Diceros bicornis minor: one gene and its partner. The protein of the gene in region 2 interacts with the protein of the main gene of each other region in a pairwise test. Links are inferred from orthologs where the notes say so. Each region holds a gene or a part of one and is shown on either strand. Other genes may lie near its edges.

Evidence for each region.
Region 1: the proteins of CTNNAL1 (region 2) and RNF135 interact in binary tests that used the Homo sapiens proteins (3 or more experiments, as listed by UniProt). The two-hybrid records come from large-scale screens. The link is inferred for Diceros bicornis minor from reciprocal best matches to the Homo sapiens genes CTNNAL1 and RNF135.

Annotation. Positions count from the first base shown.
Region 1 is NC_080757.1:21,202,478-21,211,492, reverse strand, and holds the start of RNF135 (E3 ubiquitin-protein ligase RNF135), read right to left. Parts: upstream 3,922-9,015; 5' UTR 3,908-3,921; coding exon 3,539-3,907; intron 1-3,538.
Region 2 is NC_080767.1:17,968,828-17,978,028, forward strand, and holds the start of CTNNAL1 (alpha-catulin), read right to left. Parts: upstream 3,645-9,201; 5' UTR 3,613-3,644; coding exon 3,472-3,612; intron 1-3,471. UniProt on the Homo sapiens protein: May modulate the Rho pathway signaling by providing a scaffold for the Lbc Rho guanine nucleotide exchange factor (ARHGEF1).

The DNA of each region.
Region 1 (9,015 bases), on a different chromosome or scaffold from region 2:
TTCACTGTGAAAGGATCTTGGAGACTTTAAAGCGATGTATAGATGCAAAGCTCTTTTTGTACATCCTTCATATTTAAAGAAACATTTAGATGACAGTACTAAACAACTCCACTTAAAGAGCTTAATCTGCTCAGCTGCCTGGTTGGGAGTGACAGTAAGTTTTGTAGCCAACATATTCTGGCAACTACCTCAAGACCTGGTGACACTCATCAGAGGCAGGCTGGGCCCAGGCCTCAAATGGAGAAGACTGCATTACCTCCAAAAGGGGTCCTATGCAGAGTCACAGAAATACAAGATGTTCTTCATCCAACTCTAAATAAACCAGAGTTTTTATAACTTTGTATTGACATTTTTCATTTTTAAAATTATGCTGGAACTTCAAAAACTGGAATCGACCCAGGACCTTTTACATCTTTAAGAAGCCCTGATGTCCCTCAAAATAGCACGTGTTTTGGAAGCCATGATAATCAGGCTATTTTAGAGAGGGAGGTGGCTGACTGCTGGTAACACTGTTTGCTCTTAAATTTCCAGGCTCCACTTCCAAATATACAGCCAGCTGGAACTCTGGAGTCCTTACCCAAGCACCTGAGCAAATCAAAAACTTTTCTACCGATAAAAAAAATACATACTTATTGTGGTTAGTTTAGAAAATGCAGAGAACAAGAAAGAAGAAATGTTTTAAATCATCCAATATCCTACTATCCAAATGTTACCCTGGCCCCTGGCCCCATAAGACATTAACCACAACCCTGCTCAGAACAAGCCTAACACATTCTCTTTAGGTTACAGGAAACCACGAAGAGAGGAATAAGGAGATGGCTGACATATTGTCAAAACCAGTTAAAACCAGGTGAAGGCAACATGGTAGCCTGACTTGACCTGACATAGACCCCACAGCTCATTACAGGCTCATTGTAATACATTACCGTGCTACATAACACCCCCCCCAGCGCCATGACAGTCCACAATTGCCACAGCAACCGCAGCATATGACTAAATAAGGAAAGAAAAGAGGTGGCACCCTTGTTCCCCCGAAAAGCCTGCCCTGTTCCCTGAATATGATGAATACTCCCCCCCTTCATTATCTCGACCCCTTATAACCGCTGCTGCTTACTCGCCCCAAGAGCTGAGAAGTTGAGTTGTGAACTTAGTTCCCACTTCTCTATTCTTTGGCCATCAAATAAAAGCTTGTGCCGTTGACTGTTCAGCTTTGGTTTTGTTTCAAATCTGCGACCCTGAACAGAAAAGAACCCTCCAAGGAGGGGACGGATTGTGGGTACGAGGCCCACACCTGTGGGTCCCTCCGCGGAGCTCCTCTGAAGTGGGTTGGAGTCCCACCAGAGTGAGGTCAATTTGGTAACACAAAGACAATCATTTTAATTTAAAAGGCTTTGGAAAGTATATTCAGTCACTACAGTATAATCTATATTAACAAAACATTTTAAGGACCTGAGCGATAATGCTGTATTTATAATCAAAAAGAAGAGAACATGCTTTATTCATAACGGCAAAAAAATGGAAGCAATCAATATGTCCATCACCAGGTGAATGGATAAACTGTGGTATAACTATGCAATGGAATATTATTCAGCAATAAAAAAAGAAATGAGCTATCAAGTCACAAACCCTAATTTTGCTTACTGAAAGGAGCCAGTCTGGAAAGGCTAGATATTGTATGATTCCAACTATATGACATTCCGGAAAAGGCAAAACTATAGAGATAGTATAAAGATGAGTGGTTGCCAGGGGTTGGGATGGGGTACAAACAGGTGGAGAACAGGGGATTTTCAGGACAGTATAACTGAATGACACTGTAATTGTAGACACATGACCTCATGCATTCGTCAAAACCCACAGAACTGTACAACACAAAGAGTGAACCCTAATGTAAACTATGGATTTTAGTTAATAATAATGTATAAATATTGGTTTATCAATTGTAACAAATGTACCACACTAATGCAAAATGTTAATAATAGGGGAAACTGTGAGGGATATATGGGGACTTTCTGTCCTATCTGCTCAGCATTCTGTAAACTTACAACTGCTCTAAAAAATAAAGTCTATTAACTAATTAAAAAAAAAAACACGACATAAACTACCTACACAAGGTGACCTCAACTCTTCAAAAAGACCGCAGAGAACAGCAAAAGGGTAGAGCGGGAAGCTCCCCTACCCTACCCCTAGCCCCCCATAATAAAACATCGCAAAACAAGCAGAAACTGACAGAACAAACTTTGTCAGGACTCTGGAAAACACCAAATCAAAAAAGAGCAACCTGGCAGTAGGAAAGCTTTGTGGTGTTTTTACCTGCCCCCGCCCCACTCCCTCCCTGGCTAAGTAACAGTCTTGAAGATTCCCAGCGTGGAACCCTGGTCCTGGTTGCAGAAGGAGCAGAGCCCCACATTCACAAATTGTTGTGTATGTCTGTTCTAACCTGGCTGGGGCTGCCTGAAGGAATGACACAGGGTGCTCATCTTTTTCTACCTAACTCAGAGCTCGGGCCAGAAAGGTGGTGGGCATTGCTCGGAACGCTGCAACTGAATTAAACTTGCCTATGTCTAGAGCTAAAGATTATGGTGGAAATGTACGATAGGGCACGTAGGTTCCAGGAGCAAAAGCTGGGGAAAATTGAAACCCTCCTACTTTGTTGATGGGAATGTAAAATGGTGTAGCTGCTGTGGAATACAGTTTGGCTGTTCCTCAATAAGTTAAATAGAGAATTACCTTAGGACCCAGCAATTCCACTCTTAGGTATTGTCAAAATAATTGAAAATAGGGACTCAGATACTTGTAACCAATGTTCACTGCAACATTACTCACAATAACCAAAAGGTGGAAACAATTAAAATATCCACCAAGGTATGAATTTTTAAAAAAAGTGGTATATACATACAAGGGAATATTATTCAGCCGCAAAAAGGAATGAAGTTCGGATACATGCTACAACACAAATGAACCTTGTAAACATCATGGCAAGTGAAAGAAGCCAGACCCAAAGGGATAAATATTGCATGATTCCACTTATATGAAATATCTAGGCAAATTCATAGAGACAGAAACTCAATTAGAGGGACTGGAGGGAGGAGGAATGAGAAGTTATTGCTTAATGGGTACAGAGTTTCTGTTTGTAGTGATGAAAAAGTTTTGGAAATAGATAGTGGTGATGGGTGCACAACACTGTGAATACAACTAACGCTACTGAATTGCACACTTAAAAATCGTTAGAATAGCAAATTGCACCACAATAAAAAAATTTTCATAGAGACAGACTTCGTAAAGACTGGAAAGAAATGGAAATACGCCAAGGTGTACAGCGGCTAGGTTGATAGGATTTTAGGAGATTTGGATTTTTTTTTTTCCTGCTGCTTCATACTTTTCTGAACTTTCCAAAGAGCGCGTTCTACTTTTAGACGGGGAAAAAGTAACGTAAGAGTAGAAAAGGAAAGGGAAAGGAGGAAGAGCGATGGGGCAACAGGGTGCAGGCGGCGCGGGCAGCTTGGAGGAGAGAGGGGAGCTGCGGGTCCCGCCTCCCTACCGGCAGCGGCGCGGCGGGGCGCGGGGGCCCCGGCGCTGGGCCGGGGGCCGGGGCGGGAGCTGGGCCGGGGGCCGGGCCGGGGCCGGCCTCCAGCTCGCGCGCGGCCTGGCTGTACTTGTCGGCCAGGTCCTGCAGCAGCGTGTTCTTCCGCAGCTGCAGCTGCTGCGCGCCGCCCTCGCGGCAGGTGGGGCAGGACCAGCGGCGCCCCGCGGCCCCTGCGCCCCACAGGTCCTTCAGGCAGCTGCGGCAGAAGGTGTGGCCGCAGGGCAGCGTGACGGGCCAAGCGAGCAGCCCATGACAGATGATGCAGCCCAGGTCGTCCTCGGCTAGCCACACGGGGATGGCCCGGCCGGTGTCCAGGCCCGCCATGGTGACCAGTCCGCCGCCGGGGCGCGGAAGTCGCGGCCACGCCAGGCACCGCCCGTCCGCCCGCCCGCTGCTACGTCTCCTCTGGCTCCTCCCTCGCTCTTCCTCTCCGCCCGCTCCTTCGCTGTCTCCTCCCCTCTTCACTTCGGTCCGCCGTTGTTCCGTTTCTGCAGTCTTGCTGAAAGCTGACTTAGAGCCTCCACCGCCCAGCCCGCGGCGCCCTGGGGGCAGAGCTGGCTGCTAGTCACAGCCTCCTCTGCTGGGAAATCAGCTCGCCCCAAGCGCTAGGAACCTGATGATGTCCCAAAGATCCCTTGGTTTAACGCCCCCCGCCCCATTAAAATACAACCCCGACAACTCTTGGAAGAAGAAAAAAGAGGATTCAAGAACTCTTTTATGAGAATGCGTCCACTAGGTGTCATCCAGCCCCTCCAACTAGCAAGGGATTAAAGAATTTCGAGGGCCGGCCCCGTGGCTTAGCGGTTAAGCGCGCGTGCTCCGCTACTAGCGGCCCGGGTTCGGATCCCGATCCTGGGCGCCCACGGACGCAACGCTTCTCCGGCCATGCTGAGGCCGCGTCCCACATACAGCAACTAGAAGGATGTGCAACTATGACATGCAACTATCTGCTGGGGCTTTGGGGGATAAAAGGAGGAGGATTGGCAATAGATGTTAGCTCAGACCGCGTCTTCCTCAGCAAAAAAAAAAAAAGAGAGAGAGGAGGATTAGCATGGATGTTAGCTCAGGGCTGATCTTCCTCACACACACAAAAAAAGAATTTGGAGCGCACATAACTGGAAGCTGGTTAAAAACACCGATGTTGGGGCTCCACTCCTGGAGAGTCTGATTTTCTGGGGTAGAGCACGGCACAGGTATTTTAAAAAATCTCCCCCGGATGATTCTAACCCGCAGCCAAAGTTGAGTGACCCCTAGACTTTTACAATCCGTGTTACAGTGCAGAATTGTGCCTCTGTCTCCTTACTGCTCCCTGCTGACTGAAAGCACATTACCCAACAAGCATCGGAACAAAAATGCTAGAAAGTCTGTTTTCTTGAGGTAGCACTCCTGGCCCTGGTTGGACTTGTTCTCTTCCTCCTCTCCTCTTATTCCAGTCCTAAGCGTATTACAACCAGAAAACATATGAACTAGAACAGCATCAAATCCTCCCCAAAGACCCAAAGAGACAAACTTCCAGGCTTACATAGCAATAACTGAGTGGCAGAGACCAGAACCTGTCTCTCTCTGGTCTGTTGAATTGAACTAACAATGTCTTATATTTTATTTTACTCCATCTTGCCTGGGCTCAAAGTAGGTACCAGATAATACAAATTTGTGGCTATTTCCACTACTGGAAATGACAGGTAGTAGTCATTAGTGCTGCTCATCCAAGTTTCCAGCTCTTTTCCTTTCTAGGCACCTGGTAGGACTGGCACTTCTCTGACCAACTTGAAACACACAGAAGTAATAGTTGTTAACTTCCCACCAGCTTAAAAAGCTGGTAAGTCATTGTACCCCTTTCTGCTAGCTGCCGTGACTATAGAGATGAAGCCATCAACTGGTGGCCTGGGTCTCTGTGTCGCTAAGATGAGCAGACCTCCTGCCGACCCATACTAGGACATGTAGCAAAGGAGAAAAATAAACTTGAGATATGTTAAGTTTACTGAGACTTAGTGGGTGCTTGTAGCTACAGCATAACCCAGCATATTCTTTTTTTTTTTTGTGAGGAAGATCAGCCCTGAGCTAACATCCATGCTAATCCTCCTCTTTTTTTGCTGAGGAAGACGGGCTCTGAGCTAACATCTATTGCCAATCCTCCTCCTCTTTTTCCCCAAGGCCCCAGTAGACAGTTGTATGTCACAGTTGCACATCCTTCTAGTTGCTGTATGTGGGACGCGGCCTCAGCATGGCGGGAGAAGCGGTGCGTGGGTGCGCGCCCGGGACCGAACCTGGCTGCCAGCAGCGGAGAGCGCGCACTTAACCGCTACGCCACGGGCCAGCCCCCTAGCGTATTCTGACTGATATCTTACCTGGATTTTGTTCCAGAGTCTCCTCATTTGGAGTAAACTCATAGCTTCTCTGGACCTCTCTTCTGAAAAATAGGCATGATATCAAATGCACATGCTCAAATCTTCCATCTTAAAAAATAAAGTCTCCTTTGATATAGGCCTCCCTCTAGCTATCTCTCCTTCTGTCTTCCACTGCACACCCAAGTTTCTTGGAAGAGTAGATTAACCAGTGGTCTTCAAACTTTTTTTTCTTGGACAGCTCCTAAAAGTTTTATTCAAAAACATGCAGTGATTACAAGAAAGGGGGGAGGGATGGCAGTAGTCAGCCCTAGCTGTAAAAATTTGTGAACAAGTTCTTCATTTACATTGGAAATTTTATCATTCTTTCATCTTCTTAAACTTGTATTTCCATTCTACTTTCTCCACAAAACTATAATCTAAGATAATATATTTTATGCATGACAGTCTTTTATCACTTTGTAATCACCAGATTAAGATGTTAAGATACAGTGCTCTCACTGTGATGGCCTGGGTTCATTCGCCAGTCAGGGAACCAGGCCACCCATCTGTCAATTTTCATACTGTGGTGGCTGCATGTTGCTGTGATGCTGAAACCTATGCCACCAGTATTTCAAATACCAGCAGGGTCACCCATGGTGGACAGGTTTCAGCAGCTGAGACAGACTAGGAAGAAGGAATTGGCTACCCACTTCCAAAAAAATTGGCCATGAAAACCCTATAAATAGCAGCAGAACTTTGGCTGATAGAGTGCCGGAAGGTGAGAAAATGGCGGGCAGGAGAAAGTGAGAAAAAGACTGGACAGGGTTCCACTTTGCTGTACACAGGGTTGCTGGAGTTGAAATTGACTTGATGGCACTAACAACAACAAAATCACTTTTATCACTTTGTAATAATTTCCTGCAACAACAAAAAATATATATATATTGAATTTTTAAATCTTTTTTACTTCCTATGACAAAAAGGCTCTTGTTAATTTTTTTATTCTGTATTGAATTATCATTATAATTATTATTAGCAGTCGATAAAAACAAAAATATATTGTAAATTTATGTAAATAATTGTTAATCAAAAAGTAAAAATTTTATTAGAATTGCAGCTCTTAATGAGATGGATGGGCTGGGTTTTTTAAAAAATGAATTTATCTGTGGATGAACATTACTTTTTTGCTTTTTTTTTTTTTTTTTGGTGAGGAATATTAGCCCTGAGCTAACATCTGATGCCAATCCTCCTCTTTTTTTCACTGAGGAAGATTGTTCCTGTGCTAATGTCCGTGCCCATCTTCCTCTACTTTATATGGGACACCGCCACAGCATGGCTTGACAAGCAGTGCATCGGTGCGCATCTGGAATCTGAACTTGCGAACCCCAGGCTGCCTAAGCGGAACTTGTGCTCCTAACTGCTACGCCACCAGGCCAGCCCCTCTGCTGGCTTTATTTAGACATAATTGACGTAAAATATTGTGTATGTTTAAGGTGTACAACGTGATGATTTGACACACCCATATATTGCAAAAATGATTACCACAGTAAGGTTAGTTAACACTTCCATCACCTCACATAATTCCATTTGTGTGTGTGTGTGGTAAGAACTAAGATATACTAAGATATCCTCTCTTAGCAACTGTCAAGCATACAATAAAGTACTGTTAACTATAGTCACCATGTTGTACATTAGATCCCCAGAACTTATTCATCTTATAACTGTAAGTTTGTACCCTTCAACCGACATGTCCCCATTTCCCCCACCCGGCAGCCCCTGGCAACCACCTTTCTACTCTCTGTTTCTGAGTAGGCTTTTTTAGATTCCGCATGTAAATGAGATCAGACTCAAAAGTCTTTCTCTGTCTGACTTATTTCACTTAGCATAATGCCCTCAAGGTCCGTCCATGTTGTCACAAAAGGCAGGATTTCCTTCCTTTTTATGGCTAAATAATATTCCATTTTATATACACCACATTTTCTCTATCCATTCATCTGTGGGTGGACACTTAGGTTGTTTCCATGTCTTGCCTATTGGGAACAATGCTGCAGTGAACATGGAGTAGAGATATCTCTTTGAGATAGTGATTTCAGAAATATACCCAGAGTGGGATTGCTGGATCATATGGTAGTTCTATTTTGTGTGTGTGTGTGTGTGTATGTGTGTGTGTGTGTGTGTGAGGAAGATTAGCACTGAGCTAACATCTGTTGCCAATCCTCCTCTTGTTTTGCTGAGGAAAATTCTCCCTTTTTATATGTGGGACGCCCACACAGCATGGCTTGATAAGTGGTGAGTAGGTCTGTGCCCAGGATCCGAACCCGTGAGCCCCGGACTGCTGAAGTGGAGCACATGAACTTAACCACTATGCCACCGAGCTCGTCCCAGTAGTTCTATTTTTAATTTTTTGAGAAACCTCAATACTGCTTTCCATAGTGGATGTACTAATTTATATTACCACCAATGGTACACAAGGGTTCCCTTTTCTCTACTTCCTCACCAACACTTATCTCTTGTCTTTTTGATGACAGCCATTCTGACAGGTGTGAGGTGATACCTCATTGTAGTTTTGATATGAATTTACCCGATGACTAGTGATATTGAGCACCTTTTCATGTTGGTCATTTGTATTTCTTTGGAAAATGTCTATTCCCATCTTCTGCCCATTTTTAAATTGGATTATTTTGTTTTTTTGCTATTGCGTTGAGTGAGTGACGAACATTACTTAACACTAGAATTAAACAAGGTCCAGCAATAAATTCCATTCCTTTTTGTTTGTTTGTTTTTATAAATATTAGCACTGAGAAACCTTGTTTACATATATAAATAGATGACAACAATGTCACACATTTTGTTGAACACTTTCTGAGACATATGCAAAAAAATCACATCATCAGAAATTATTTTTAATAATCTCTCAGCTGACAACTTGATTAGATTTCCTTTTAATTTTTGCTGAAAGCAAAAAATTTGAAACTACTTGTGTTGCAAAAGTCGTTAGAAGTATTCACTTTCTCATTTTCTAGGAAGTATGCTAATAAAGAATTTACCAAGGTTTATCAAATTACTATCAATTATACCAGTTACTCTTTTAGAGGCACTTTGTTT
Region 2 (9,201 bases):
CAAAAAACTCCTGTTGAAATGTTTATTGGAATTGCACTAAACTTATAGATCAATAGGGAAAATTGATACATCTACAATATCAAATCAATCTAGTCATGAACATGGTACTTCCCTCCCATTTATGTAGATCTACTTTGGCTTTCAATAAAATTTTAAAATTTTCTCCATGAAGTTTGGCATCTCTTTTGCTATACATATATTCCTAGGAACTTCATTTTATTCTAACTAGCATTTTTTTTTTTAGAATTACTTCTGTTTGTCATTCAGGTAGAAAAATGCAGTTGACTTTAGTATCCTACAGTCAGTGAACTTACTAAACCTCCCAATTTTTATAATTTATTTAAAGACTCTTTGAGTTTTTCTCTGTAGATAATTATATCATAATGAAGTTTTGATTTTTCCTTTCCTATCTTTACACTTTCACTTCTCCTTGTCCTGTTGCACTGGTTAGGATTTCCAGTACAGTGCTGAATAGAAACTGTGATAGCATCGCTCCTCTTGTTTCTGGTTTTAAAGGAAACGTTTGTTATGAATTTGACTTGTTGCTATGATGTTGACTGTAGGTTTTCTGTAGATACTCTTTATCAGGTTAAGGAAGGTGTTTCTATTACTAGTTTGCTAAGTGCTTTTTATCATGATTAGAAGCTGAATTTAAATGAATGCTTTTTCTGCATCTTTTGATAAGAACAGATAGCTTTTCTAATACATGAATGCAGAAAATTGTGTACATTGTCTAACATTGACTCAATCTTGCATTCCTAGAATAAGCCTAGTAACCCAGAACTTTTTACTTGAAGTCAGAAGAGCTTAGATGCTATCAAAGGAGAAACTATTTAAAACTCACTAAACTGTACAACGCTTGTCCTACTTGTTCACCTCCAGACCCTGTCTCCTCTATGGCATCATTCCTGACTCATCCGTGCCTTCTCCGAGCTCTTAAAGCATTTACCATTGATGATGTTCATTTGACACTTGGCATGTGCTATTTTGTACATGTCCTGTCTGCCAACTAGAATACAAGGTCCTCGAAGAGCAACAACTAGTAAGCATACAACAAACGCTTGCCTAAAATGCTTAAAATATTTTTGTGGATAAGATGGCGAAACATGCGTTGGATAATAATGCAGCATCCTTAGAAAATGACGCTCCTGGACATGAGTTTTCTAGAGCTGCAGTTTTAAAGCCACGAACACTCAATGAAACTTGAAAATCATTCTAAAGTGAACTCCACACTTTCCCGCTTTGTCAGTATTATGGCCATGCTTTATACATTTCTTGATCTTAAGCACAATTTAACTTTTTCTTGTTGAGTACAGTCAATCATTAGGAATATCAGTTATGGTATTGTGCTAAAGATATAACTGTGCATACATAACGTGTGGGATGCAGAATCTCAGCTATGGCCCTCAATGAGTCTTGAACAAAAAAGAAGAAAAAAAAAAAAAACTGGCATTTTCCCCCTTTGGCATTGACCTCTAGTTAACTCAGCAGCTATTTACACATTTCCTCCTCCACTTTCCTACTCTCTCCACCCTCTTCTACCCCAGAATTACACAATGGAGAGCTGTAGCACTGATACATTTTTAGTAGTGATACTATGAAAAATTACCATTTCTCCAGATTACAACAACCTTCCAGCTTGTTTTCCCATTGTGGACTCTTCTCTGTACCTACTATTAGCTGTCCTTATCACTGCTTCTACTCTCTAGAGAGAACACAGCATATGGTGTAGGTAAGAGCGTCAACTCTGGAGCCAGGCTGCCTGGATTCAAATCCCAGCTTGACATTTACAGTTGGAAGTCCCATGACAAGTTACTTAATCTCACTATTCCTATTTCCTCATCCACATAATGAGAATAAACATATGTCTACCTCACAGGACTGTCATGAGAATTAAATGAGTTAATACTTATAAAGTGCTTAGAACATGGCCTAGTGTATAGTAAGCATGATATACGTATGTTAAATAAATGGATAAAATACTGTCAACTTGAACTCCACCATCCTCTTACAACTACTCCAGTATTTCTCATTTTTGGTTGTGGTTGTATTGGTGGCAGTGGTGGTATTCTTTTGGGGGAGAGGGGCAGTGCAGACATTACTAACGGATCAGAGCACTGCTTCTCACTGGTCAGTGCCTCTATCAGACATGGAAGGGGGGGGGTGTAGGTGTATTCATTCCCTGTTGTGTTAGCCAGGCTAAAATGAGCACAGGTGAAGAAGATGGAGCTGTTTATTTAATCAGCGTTAACAGGAATCTACAGACATGTGTGACTGCTGTTTTCAAATATTTGCGGGGCTGGCACGGAGAAGAGACAGCATTAAAAATTCTATACAACAGCTACAGGCTCCCCATCACTGAACATGTTTAAACAGGGGGCTGGTGACCAGGTGTCAAGGGTGCTGTAAGAAAGAATTTTTTAATTTAGAGTCAGATAACCTTTAAGATTCCTTCTACCTCTAAAATCTTGGCAGCACTAGCGTGAATCATCAAGACTTTACAATCCAGTTGTGAGTCACACATCGCCAGCGCGCTCCTGAAGGCACAGAATTCTTCACTCCCCACAGTGTTTGGCACATTACACAGGTCTAGGTGAGGAATTCTAGCCCTCAGGCTGCGTATAACTCGGCTCACCGTAACAAAAACTTCTCTAAAGCTAAGCGCGTCAATTAGCTGATTCTAGACTTCTGTTATGACCAACAAATACAATAAAGCATACATCCCAAATGGGATTTGGCAAAAGATGGGTATCCGGATTAACTATCAGGCTGTCCTTCACTTCGCTCTTCCGAGGCCGGACAAGAGCCAACTGCAGTGAGCAGGCAGGTTAAGGGGAAGGGGCAGGGTGGCCCGGGAGAAATGCGAGGCGGGCGAGCCGACACACACGCAGGGCAGAGGGACAAAGGCCCCGGGAGAGCACGCTGGACTTGGAGGCTGGGAATGCCCCAGCTGGAGTGCCCAAAGGTCCGGGTTTGGACCGGGGTTGCGAACGTGTGCCGGCAGCGGGTTAAAGAGCAGCACCGGGGGGGGCCCCTAAGAGCCAGCGGAGCTCCCGCCGTGGTCCTCTCTGCCTCCCGGGAGCTGGGCTCGCCGCCCACCCGCGGAGGCGGGCTCGCTGGGCCGGGGGCCACCGCAGCCGCAGCCGCGAGGCGGGTCCTGGGGGGCAGGCCGGGCGCGCACCTGCCGGCCGGGCTCTCGAGTCCGCACCGGGCCCCCCGCCCCGCAGCCTCTCCTGCCGCTCAGCCAACTCGGCCTCGCCGCCGGATTTCGAACGGTCCAGACTCAGCCACCTCAGCCGAGGCCCGTCCTCAAGCCCCAGACCGGCTGTCCGACACCGACGCCGCAGTCCGGGTGCAGGATGCGGGGCAGCGGCTGCCTCCCGCCCGGCCCGACCCGGCTGTGCGAGCGGCCGCCGCCATCGCGGGCCGCGGCCGGAGGGAGACGAGGGGCCGCACCGGGCGCCACTTTACCTGAGAAACCAGCGGGAGCAGCGTCTGCTCCACCGAGCGAGTTTTGATCTCGAGTCCCGAGTCGAAGGCGAGGCCCGACGGGCCGGAGCCGTGCATTGCTCCGGCGCCCCCAACGCCGGCCGGGCCCGGAGAGGCAGCCATGGCCCTCCGCTCGTCGCGCAGCCGGAACGCCGCGCCACTGAGGGCCCGTCGCCCGCCGCCCGCCAGCCAGCCCGCGCGCGGCGGCGGCAGCAAAGCACCCGCGCCGCCCGGGGCCCCGCCCCTGGCACGGCCCCGCCCCCGGCCTGCTGGGCCGCCGCCGGGCCCCGCCCGCGACAGGCCCCCGCCCACTCCCCGCCCCCAGCCGGGCCCCGTCTCCAGCCTGCTGGGGTGCCGCAGAGCCCCGCCCCTGACAGGCCCCGCCCCCGACAGGCCCCGCCCACTCCCGCCTCTGTCCCGCTCCCTCCATCCCCATTCCCCGCCTTGCCTCTCTCTCTCTCCAGACCACTCTTCGGTGGGTTCCATGCACGTCCCACGCGCGCTAAACAGAGAAACTAATATACCTGAGGCTTCCCACGGCCACGTGGCCTCTTACCAGGACAAAGGACACCGTCCCCAGCAAAGCTTCCCATCCTCTGTCCTCTCGATAGGTAACTCGTCCTAACTACGAATTCCCGCGGCGATTTCTGGAAGCTGCACTGAGGTTGAAACTAACTGGTAGAGCAGGACCCGAGTCATGTCTGTAGGGGGCTGCTGTTTACCCTGAGACAGGAATTCTACAGGCAATATAGTCTTTCTGGAGCTTCTCCGGAAGGCCCCATTTCCCCCTCCACCCTGCTCCTTTTCTGACTGTATCTTTCTCACAATTGAGCTGGACTGAAGATGAAACACTTGATAATGCAGTTATTTAAGGAGTGTCTGGGTACTCGGCAAGAAGAGAGTGACTTGGGTATCTTTCAGGCTACTGCTCAGAAATACTCTTCTAAATAGACCATATGGAAAAGCACCTACTGTTCAACACTTTTTTTCAATTACTGTTCAATTACTTTTTAAAACTACTTTTCAAAATTATTTTCCCCTAGTGCCTAGCACAGAGCAGTTTCTTAACAGCTGTTCACAGACTGAAAAGATCATTAGTATATATTTCTAACTAAACTAAGGGTAAGGCTAAAATCAGGGAGCCCCTGCGGGATTGAGATGGGAGGGAGAGCTGAACACCCCTTACCCTAAGGGTTCCAGGAGCAAAGCCAAAAAGAGGTTGTCAGAAACACACCCTGTGAAAGGGTCCTAGGCTTAAGCAACAGCCTGAGAAACATGAAGAAATATTTTTTGAACTAGCATATCTGCCAATAAGAAACTATCAGAATAGAAAAGAATCTGAGGTTGGCTAGTCCACTGTTACACCTTTGCCAGGACCATTTCTCCATCCATAATGTCAGATTGATGAGCTGAACACCACCAATTGGAGGTGTCAGCAAGTTCTTTCCCAAGCACTGTTGAAATGTGCTTTACAGTACTTCCACACCTGGGTTTGGCTACGTCACCCAGTGCTGCACTGATATCTTTGCTATTGAAGATAGCCATAACTTAGGATTGTTTTCTTCATTCAAAATCTGCAGTTCTTTGATCCAAAAAAAATTTTTTTTTTGCGAGGAAGATCAGCCCTGAGCGTTATAACATCCATGCTAATCCTGCTCCTTTTTACCGAGGAAGACCGGCTCTGAGCTAACATCTATTGCCAATCCTCCTCCTTTTTTTTTTTTCCCCAAAGCCCCAGTAGATAGTTGTATGTCATAGTTGCACATCCTTCTAGTTGCTGTATGTGGGACCCGGCCTCAGCATGGCTGGAGAAGCAGTGCGTTGGTGGGCGCCCAGGATCTGAACCCTGGCCGCCAGTAGCGGAGCGCGCGCACTTAACCGCTAAGCCACAGGGCGGGCCCTCGATCCAAATTTCTTTTCCTCTGATTCTTACTCCCCAGCCATGCACATCACCACTTCCTCATCTACCTCAAGGCCACCTTCCCTTGTGTACTGAGGGCTCCAGCCTCAGCCTTGGACCTTTTCACCTCTTGAAGGTGCCCAGCATCCACTCCCCAGACACTTATTCCCTTATGTAAGTTGCCCATATTTCATAAAAATTCAGTGTAGGTATTGGTGCTAAAGGAAAAGGCAAGAGATAAAGCCTAAGAGACAGATAAGGTGGACTTGTAAAAGTGTGACTTCACTAAAGATCAAATTTCTCAACAGAAATGAGACTAAGTTTACCACCTGATTTTTTCAACACTAGCAATTTTACTTCAAAATATAAATATTTTACATTTACAAAGAAGTTACATCAGTAGGTTGTCAAAGCAAGTTAAAGCTAAGAAACAGCATTTGTGTGAGAATAAAGAATATGTATTGTTGTATTTGAATAATCCTTTTTTTCAAACCATCTCTACTTTGCCTGAGAATGCAGAGATGATACACTTTCCAAAAGTTACATAAGCAAGTTATAAACTATTATGACCTCAATAAAAAAAACCTATAAAAAAAAAGTTACATAAGCAATTACAACTATATATCCAATCTTGGTTTCAAAATCAAATAATATTTGAAATACACTCCGGTTACCTAAACGAGTGGCACAGCAAAGGACAAAAGAGGGTTTTCTTTGGGATAGCTATAACAGGAGTTACATTTTCTGGGTCACTGCAATAAAAAAAATATATAGTATTTGATAATAAGCCAAATGATGTTACTTTAAGATTTGCTTCCACACCTTTCACTGTAAAATATAAAGCTAGAAGAAAAATACGAAACCAGGTGTGGAGTCAAGAACTCTGGACTTGGAGTCAGAAGTTCTGCAACTGAATTCTGGCTCCATCACTTTGTGGTATAAACTTAAGGGAAAATCACAAAAAAAACCTTTCTGAGCCCCCAGTCAGTGCCTCATTTGATAATACTTAACACCTGCCTATCTCACAGGGTTGTTAAGAAAGCAGCCTAAAAACTATGAAGTGCCATACAACAGCATTATTAAAATGTAGTATCAATATATCACCACTGTATTCGCACATTAATTGATCCTTGAAAAACTTGCAAAACTGAACACAAACACTGATTTTACACACCATAGGTGGAAAAGAATCTCTATACTTTATGTATAGCTCTGAACGGCAAATGTGTTTTCTTTCTAGTATCTCTCTAAACTTGGAGATTTACTACAGTTTACATGGTACCATGGTAGTAGACTTACCATTCAGAAATTTCCATTAGGGATATCATCTAAAAGACCTGTACACTTACTCGAGAGCCATGTTTCCCAGAGGATCAGCAGTCCTTTGAGTAAGAAAAGGAGGATGGGGGCATGGTTTAAAGTCAAATAAGTCTAGTAAACATAGTCTTTGTCCCCTCTTATAAGTTCACAATATATAATAGCACATTAAAAACTCTTCGAAATCCTACAGAAAGGATATAAACTCAGCATTCTGCAATTTGAATTGAACATGGAGTCTTCTCCCACCACACACACTTTTCTTCTCTTATAACGTCCCATGGAACTACTGCTATAAGGAACACATTTTTCCAAAAGCTACTCAACTACAAGGGAAAGGGCAGAGAAGCAGAACAAAGGACCGAGGGGAAAAAAAGAACTATCTTCTACTCTGAATTCTGTTACTAACGGGCTCTGCGTGTGTCAGAAAAACCACTTTAACCTCTGGATTTGTTTCCTGCTCTAAAAAAAGCCAGGATCACCTAATTAAATAAGGCCCATTCTACCACAGAAATTCTATGACTGTAGTAGACAGAACATCTTGATTTATAACTCTCTTGATTATTTTTAAACTATGAAAAAATAACTGCTCAGAGGTTTCAGATACCATGTGTATTTTTTGCAGGTCCTCAATAAGTTAATGAAATGGATATATTTTGATGGCAAAAAGTGTAAAGACAAAAAATTAATAAAAACAAAAAGTATTTGTTCTTAGCTGGAAGTAGCATTTGGAAAAATGTTCCCAGAGGCTATTTCCACTGTGAAATACCTACCGACATACTCTTGGAAGGGTTTTGGAAGACCCTTAGAGGAGACTGCCGGTCGGGACCAGAGTATGGGAAGTTGTGAAGGGGTCTTTCCTATAAACCTTGAGGCTGAAAGCTCTGGATAGCTCACCTAAAATTACTTTGCTCTAATCTAACCCCGCATGGCCTAAATTTCTGAGTATTTCTTGTCCAGAAGTGACACATCCTGAAGTGCTAATTACAACCAAAGTGGGAACTGGCGGTACTGGGAAGTCCTGATGGCTCACAATGGGTTCATGTGAAGACTAAGGTTAGCCAGAGGACTTCATCTGCAAGCCCTTTAGCAGCTGTATATTCCAGTTGAAGGGCAGCTATTTCCCAAGTTACTGAGTTTGTTTAAATAGAGTGTCTCCATAACACTTCTTGGGTATCCTCCCACTGTCAAGAGTCAATCTACACCAGTCTCAGAAGTCAAGGGAAAACTCTGCCGGCCAACTACCTCTAATGGAAGAGGGTTTTAGAATCCTTGCAAATTTAAAAATAAACAAAACTTGTATCTAAGGCCGTCTGACAGAGATCACTTCCAGGAACAGACAATGTGACAGGAATTTTGGAACTGAAGGAGGACTTGGACGACATGGAGTTTATGCTGAAAATCCCATGCCTTGTTTTCTCTCAGAAAAGAGAGGAGCACACTGTGGGAAGAGCTTGTATCTCCTCCTTCCATTCCCCCATTCGGTTTACAACTGAATAGTGAATGTGAACTTCAAACTAATCTTTAATAAAGCTATAAAACAGCAGACATTGTGACAGGATTCTGCATTTGGTTTTTACCGAAGCTACTTCTACTTCACCAATGCATTATCTGTTCCTAGAGAAACTTCTGGGTCAAATCCTGAGAATCTGAGGGTAGGTCATCTTTGAGACTTGAGCTTGACACTCCTACCTTTTCATACCATTATGATCTCTATGCCCTGTGAAAATTCTGTAAAACCTCCTCACTATATCTGAGGGGCATGTTTCTCTCTGTCTTTGAAGGTTCCAGGAAGACCACCCCCAGCTGGTCGACCTGCGAGTCCTTATGCTGTTGCTGAAGGACTGGGGCAGTTCAAGTGTCCTGATCAGGACTGTCTAGCACTCTGGGGCACGTCTCCTCCTGTGATATTGCATCATTGCTAATTTTGGTAGCTATAAACCATTCTCTTAGGGCTCAGAGTTCCCCTCTAAGAACTTGGTATTCATACTGATAATTATGACCAGCAACAGCCATACATTAGCTCAAGTTTAGTGTTTTGCAACATCACTTTATACAGCTAAAAGCACTTTGGAGGAACATAATTTGTATATGCACACTAACTCATTGTGTATAATATTTGCCTCTTAGAAATATGTGCTAATTACAGCTATAAACTTACCAGTATACCATTAACAAAAACAAACCTGATTTCTTTCTTAACCCTTTAAATGCAAAATTTTTAATTTTAATCATTTTAATGATCTGGCTAAGATTTAAAGTGAAAGAAGGCTTTCTTCTGAGCTATCCCCTCAGCACCCTGTACAGTGCCTGCCATGGAACCTAGAGTGTGGCAAACTCTAAACAAATGTTTAACTGAATGAATGATGGAACAACTGAATAAAGAAAAGAATGAGTTCCTTAGTGGCCAAATGTAACACTCGGTGGAATATCAGATTATAATTTTTGAAGGATTCATAGTAAAAAATAAGAGATCTGCATGTAGTCTACCGTAT